2 linked regions of the Danio rerio genome follow. The protein of the gene in region 1 interacts with the protein of each later gene in a pairwise test. Links are inferred from orthologs where the notes say so. Each region holds a gene or a part of one and is shown in the gene's direction. Other genes may lie near its edges.

Region 1 (3,661 bases):
CGGAAAAAAAAACACTTGAAATTGAACGTTGCAGTTTATCATGAATATATAAAAATGCCAAATATGCTGCATACTGTGAATGATAACATTTATATTTTGGGCTTTTTGGCTCTTCATAAAGTGTAAGGTTTAATGGAGTATAGTCTAGTGCAGGGGTGCCCAAACCTTTTCTTATGAAGGGCCAAAAACCTAACTTGAATGAGTGCAGTGGACCAAAGGTAAATTGACAGATACATAAATACACAAATAGTTAGACATATAGACAGACAGACATAGATTGATAGATAGACAGACAGATAGATAAATAGATAAATAGATAGATAGATAGATAGATAGATAGATAGATAGATAGATAGATAGATAGATAGATAGATACATAGACAGACAGACAGACAGATACATATATTACAGATATATAGATATATAGACAGACATACAGACACATATGTAAATGGATAGATAGATTGATTGATTCTCACTCTCTTCTCAGCTGGCATGGCAGGCCAAATCATAGTTTACCATGGGCAACTTTGTCCCGCGGACCCTAGTTTGGGCATCACTGGTCTAGTAGAAAGAAAACAAACTTTTAATCACAAAAGCCTACATATTTGTAGTTTTTACTCAAACTTTTTATATATCTTTACTTTGCATATGCTTGTATACAATTTTCCTTTTTATATACTGTATTTCCTACAAATAAATATTTATTTTTTGTCAATAATAATAAGCCTAGAGTGATAAAAGCGAGACACATTAATTCCCCTTTTTAAAATCACTTGACTCTAATATACGACTGATAAAAAGAGTAAAAAGAATTTTCATTAATTGATTTTCCTTCGACTTAGTCCTTGTATTACTATGGGGTCGCCACAGCGGAATGAACCGCCAATTATCCAGTATTACACAGCGGATGCTTTTCCAGCTGCATCCCGGTACTGGGAAACACCCATACACACTCACATTCACACTTATACACTACGGCCAATTTAGTCTATTCAATTTACCTGTACCGCGTGTCTTGGGACTGTGGAGCAAACCCACGCCAACACGGGGAGAACATGCAAACTTTACACAGAAACGCCAACTTACCCAGCCGGGACTCGAACCAGCAACCTTCTTGCTGTGAGATGACACTGAGCCACCGTGCTGCCCCCAAATGAATAATTATATAATATTATGCAAACAATATATGCAAATTAGTGACATTTTATTAAATTAAGCCTAATTTGCATATTTAAAGTAAACAATTTGAACAGAAAATCTGTAATACAAATAAAAGTTTGCAATTTTTGATGTAATCAGTCAATTGGGGAATAGCAGTAGTGTTTAAGAAAAAGCCTTTTACTCTTATCAGCTTCCATTTGTCACATTTATTTCATACGCAGCTTGTACAAATGTACACATACGCACATTTTCTATTTTCATATACTCAATGAATGTATATTTTCTCACACACCATTAACTGTTAACAATAAAAATGCAGTTACACACAGCCAAAACTAAACTGTATCTTGTATGCGTTTGAGCAGTCGAGACTGAGTAATTGTATCAGTGTAAATGATTGATTCAGCTCTGCATCATCTTATCAGCCTCTCTGTTCTCTTCAGGACTCATGGCCTGATATCAGCAGCTCTCAAACTAGAATCTCTGAACTCCAGTCGTGTTGAAGAAACATTCTGATTTCTCTCTCATCATGAATCTGACTGAGATCTGCGACAACGCTAAGAAAGGAAGAGAATACGCGCTTTTGGGGAACTATGACTCTTCTATGGTGTACTATCAAGGTGTTATACAGCAGATCCATAAGCACTGTCAGTCCCTCAGAGATCCTGCACAGAAAGTCAAATGGCAACAGGTAAAACTCTCTTATACTTTATAACTGTCTAACTGAATATGTATGAGTGATTGTTTATTTAATACCAAAATATATACAGCAGTGCTTCCCACACATAGACTTTACCTGGGTGGGCCGCCCAGGTAAATTTAGTGATTTTTTTTTTATTGTTATTAACATCCTTTACATTTTTTTTTGCATCCGCTCAATATAACCAAACATCTGCAGTTGATCAAGTAGTGGAAAATCTTCTCTCGTTTACCTGTTACGTTCTGTGCATGCGAGACTTGTCAACACTAGGAATGGGATGATAACCGTTTTCAAGGTATAAAGCGGTTTGGAAAAGTTAATGTTTTAAATCCGCCAACATTTTCTGTAGGACCGTTCCTAAGGTATAAGTAAGATTTTTTTATTTACAACAGAATTTTCAGCAGAAAAAGATGTCGTTTTAAATAGTAAAGAAATCTGTGTTTTTGAAAGAAATGAAGACAGCATAAGTCAATGATTGATTTGAATTTTTTAGCCTGACATGATTGCTGCTCCAAAATATTATAAGTCTTTCACAAAATAAAATATATTGTTTTCAAAGAGAGAAAGAGTTTTAGTTTTTTTTTTTTTACATTTAAAAAGAACATATTCAAGAGCAGTAATCACAATACCGTGATACCATGAAACCTTGATATTTTTGTCCAAGGTTATTACACAATCAGAACCGGCCCATGCCTAGTCAACACACACTGACGGTCTCGCGTGCTCTGCAGACCCACAGAGACATATTTTTTTGGGACTTAAAATTTGTCTGCCCCGGGTTTCTAAATCTCCTAAAATGTCTAAAAAGTCTACTTTTGCTTTTCCTCCTAAAGCTTGTATGCGTGTTTACATCACCTTTTTACTTAAGGCTATTCGCTTTGCTTCGCAATTTGCGAGAGAAACATTCAATGATTAATTTTTAAAATCTAAACAACTTTTACAAATTTTACAATATACGCGGAGAAAATGTACATCATTAGTAATGGTTAATCAACTCATTTGGCTTAATAATCTCCTTTTAATCTTGTAATTATGATCATTTTTAGAGATATTGACTTTTTTTTATTCCTTTTTCTGTTTTTTATTTCTCATTTGCTGATTATTTCATTAATGTGATGATGTTAATATGTTACATAGGCTATTTTATTTACTTATGTAAAATGCTTTGGCATTTAAGTTTGCTCTGAACTTGAAAGAAAGAGAGACGCAGATTTGACCTGTCAGCGGGTGCACATGGCTCCTGAATAGCATAAAAGTAAGAGAAATTGTGGATGTGTTCTTCTTTTTTATTTATTTTTTAATTTTTTACTTTACCCATTGAAACTTCACAGTGTATATTAAAATTATTGTTCAATTTAATTATATATTGTTTGTCTCATATAGTTAACTATTTATGTGATTTGGGTAAATGGTGTGTTTCAGTTTGTGGCTACCAGCTACCACTGAAAGTAAATTTCAAACCTGTGGGCACTGATACAGTTGAAGTTGAAATTTTTAAATCTCCTGGAAATTTCTTTTCTTTTCCAAATATTTTCCAAATATGTTTAACAGAGCAAGAACATTTTTACAGTATTTCCTATAATATTTTTCATCTGGAGCAAGTCTTATTTGTTTTATTTTGGCTAGAATAAAAGCAGTTCATGGTTTGTTTAAAACCATTTTAAGGAAAATTATTAGCCCCCTTTAGCCCATTTTTTTTTAGTCTACAAAACAAACCACTGTTATACAATAACTTGCCTAATTACCCTAATCTGCTTAGTTAGCCTAATTAACCTAGTTAAGCCTTTAAATGTATCT
Region 2 (3,761 bases), on another chromosome or scaffold:
AAAAAAAATCTGCTCTCCGTTAAACAGAAATTCGAGAAAAAATAAACAGGGGGCTAATAATTCTGACTTCAACTGTATATTTATTTGGCTTGCACAATATTGATATCACAATGTATGAAACCGCAATAGTCAGCAAATATGCAATGTTGAGCATTCAGGCACACGAAATCGTAATGTTTGTAACTTTAAGAATACTGTAATTGTATTTTATCTATAAATACAATGAAGACTGTAATAGGTCATTTTACATTTGATTATACAATTTGCACCTGAATACTGCTAGACCTCCAGAAATCTGTAAAATACTGTTTATTTAATTTATATCTTTGCTGTACTGTATTTATCAACGCTTGTGATTGGTATATTATATTTTATGCAGATGCACTCACAAAAGCATCCCAGTCAATCTAAAATGATGAATTCTTACCATATTGAGCCATTTATTTCATCTGGTAAAATTATACTTCATATTGCAACAGAAAAATAAAATATTGCAATGTATTTTTTTTTCAATATATGTGCATGTATGGCGACACAGTGGCACAGTAGGTAGTGCTGTCGCATCACAGCAAGAAAGTCGCTGGTTCGAGCCTCGGCTGGGTCAGTTGGTGTTACTATGTGGAGTTTACATGTTCTCCCTGCGTTTGCGTGGGTTTTCTCCGGGTGCTCTGGTTTCCCCCACAAGTCCAAAGATGCGGTACAGGTGAATTGGGTAGGCTAAATTGTCTGTAGTGTATGAGTGTGATTGAGTGTGTATGGATGTTTCCCAGAGATGGGTTGCAGCTGGAAGGGCATCTTTTACGTAAAACATGTGCTGGATAAGTTGGCGATTCTTTCCACTTTGGCAACTCCAGATTATTAAAGGGACTGAGCCAAAAAAAAAAAAAATGAATGTGCAAGTATATACATACACACAAACAACGTATTTTTAGTCAGTTTAACTTGAACAATTGCTCACTTAAAGAGCAAAACTATTTTGCAAATATTAAATAAAGTAAAGATGTCATTCGAATTGATCTGTAAATACTTAAATTTGAAATGCCGTATATACAATCTAACTTCAAAAATAAATAAACACCTAAATTCTGATAATATACATCAATTAGCTAAAACTTTCTCAAGGCTTTTATCATGTACATGACTTTTATTATGATATTGTCGTTCGGGTTATGTTATACTTTGTTTTCAGCTCGAATCGCGTTTTTTATTTACCTCTAACTTGCATTAAAATCACAAATATGTAAAAAAACGGCTTGGATTAACTTTGAATGTTATTTAGCTTTCAAATGACCTTAAACTTTACCCGGAAGCCGATCGACACTTCCGGGTTTACAGCTTTTGACAGCAGCAGCAGGTTGTGTAAGGAAGGACGCACGTGAGCACATCAGTCTCTATCCATCATATAACGTAAGTGAACGTTTGAGTGGTAAATGTTTTATTATTAAATCTCACCTGATAGCAGGCGTGATTATCTGTGTTACCAGCGCCTAAATACATAATGTGTTGAACGCGAGTGTTGAAGCTGTAAATATAATATTATCAATATAAGGAACTGTTGAAGATGATGTAACTATCAATATGGTGGTCAGCTGCAGGTTGTTCGCAGTAGTTTAGAGCTGATTAATCGGCTGTCTTGTTATTCTCCTACAGTTTTATCGAGTGGAAATGTCGAGTCTGTCAGCAGCGAGTGTGGAGGCTTCACCTGCAGCGATAGAGGGAGCAGAGCAGAAAAAGCCACTCAAACCCTGCTGTGCCTGTCCCGAGACCAAGAAAGAAAGAGATGCTTGGTGAGCACTTTAACTGTTTTTATTTCAGTAGTTAACTTATCCTTTAAAGTGAATTATCACACAGACCTTTAGATAATTGTGGTAAAGTTGGTTTTATATTCGAACATTCGTTTTGTGACTTGCTCCCTATATTGTTTACCATGTTACTTTAAACATTTGGTCTGAAATCACATGTAAGTATGACTTCAGAACAACATTAGCACTATATATTTGACTGTAAACCAGGGGTGTTCAAACTCGGTCCTGAAGAGTTTAGCTCCAACTCTAATCAAACACACCTGAACCAGCTAATCAAGCTCTACATATACCAGAAGCTTCCTGGCAGGTGTGTTGGAGCAAGTTGGAGCTGAACTCAGCAGGACACTGGCCCTCCAGAACCGAGTTTGGATGCCCTTGCTGTAAACGGTGTCCACTATTTAGAAATGGCATAAAATACTTTTCTGAACTTATATTATTAAGGAGAAAGTCTGAATGTGTGAATATAAAACTTTCCCTCAATCTTTTAATACCAGTGACCATTTTTTTAAGCACAAAAATGGGAATTCCCATTCCCAATCTCTGATCAGTTTTTATTTTTTAATTCATTTATTTTTTACATAATTTGCAGTTAACAATAACTGAATAAGGCAGGGTTATTGCCTAATTTAAAACTTTAATCACATTGTTACTTGAAATAAATTATGAAATAGTAAAAAAAAGAGAGAATATAAATGAATAAAAACTGTTGATACATAAAGAAATTAACTAAACTTTAATTTTATTTTGGGAAAACTCATCCTATACTTAAGACCATAAATTGTTATGAGAAATTATTTTCTTGTTGTTCACAAGGAAATAGATTTTAATGTGCAGTCTAAAATTGAATAAAGTCAGACAGAGTTAGTCTTTTAATTGCTTTATTCTCCGGACATGATCAGTTTACAAAGAGACAGCCTCTGTAAGCAAAAGTAACCCAAGCATGGTCTCAGGCGTTTTTAAAGACAATGTTACTGTGTTTCAGATAAGAATTTTCCAGCAGCTTAACTCTTAAATAACCAGTAGATTACACATGGCTGTAATAGTCCAATGATTATAATGCAGATGATCTCTACTAGCAAAACCTTAATCAATTTATAATATTAATATATACTTATCAATCATCACTATATGATCATCAATATTAAAATCTCTCTCACTCTATCTATATATAGATCAAAAGATCACATCAATAGATTAAATAACTGCAGTGCATTCTGCATGATTTGATAATTATGCAAATCATATCATGTTCTCAGGCATTGTTAGAATGAATAACAAAATACTGCCAGTCAGCTGGATAGAAATATATATATACACACACACACACACACATATACACAAACACACACCAATTTATACACTAATTTGATGCTTGGCAAGTGTTTTAGCCACAGTGTGCAACTAAACAATACTGTCTTTATTCCAGCATCATTGAAAAGGGGGAGGAAAGCTGCACACACCTCATCGAGGCACACAAGGAATGCATGAGAGCGCTTGGTTTTAACATATAACACCACTATCATCATCATCATGAGTGAATGGTGAGTTTTTTTTTCTTTTGAAAGTTTTTTCTTGAACTGCAAATTAGTGACATTTTGTGCTCTCTCATGCAAGTTATTTTAACACTGTCCAAGCTGCTCTCTTTCATATTATAAAAGTGAAAAGTGAAGGCTGATCCTTACAAAGTGTGTATGGATTCACAAATTTTTTTTACTATAGTGCACAATTCAAAGCAGCTACTTTTCTATAAAACAGAGCAGCTTGGGTATTTTTCCTAAATTGCTTCTTGCTCAAGGGACTAAATTATAATAGAGTTTAAATGAAATAAGAGAAGAAATAATAAAGATGTTTCTGTCAGTTTAATGAATCGCTTACAGTATATGTAATGTTTCCTTAATTGCTTTTCTTTTGTAGTGTGTGACTGCTTGCGTGGAACGGGACCCGGTGTGCTCTATT

What was found.
Region 2: the proteins of katnal1 (region 1) and cox17 interact in binary tests that used the Homo sapiens proteins (3 or more experiments, as listed by UniProt). The two-hybrid records come from large-scale screens. The link is inferred for Danio rerio from reciprocal best matches to the Homo sapiens genes KATNAL1 and COX17.

The regions. Positions count from the first base shown.
Region 1 is NC_133185.1:41,477,399-41,481,059, reverse strand, and holds part of katnal1 (katanin p60 ATPase-containing subunit A-like 1), read left to right. Parts: intron 1-1,607; 5' UTR 1,608-1,693; coding exon 1,694-1,855; intron 1,856-3,661. UniProt on the Homo sapiens protein: Regulates microtubule dynamics in Sertoli cells, a process that is essential for spermiogenesis and male fertility. Severs microtubules in an ATP-dependent manner, promoting rapid reorganization of cellular microtubule arrays.
Region 2 is NC_133184.1:22,851,273-22,855,033, reverse strand, and holds the start of cox17 (cytochrome c oxidase copper chaperone), read left to right. Parts: upstream 1-1,325; 5' UTR 1,326-1,407; intron 1,408-1,650; 5' UTR 1,651-1,665; coding exon 1,666-1,787; intron 1,788-3,231; coding exon 3,232-3,316; 3' UTR 3,317-3,346; intron 3,347-3,719; 3' UTR 3,720-3,761.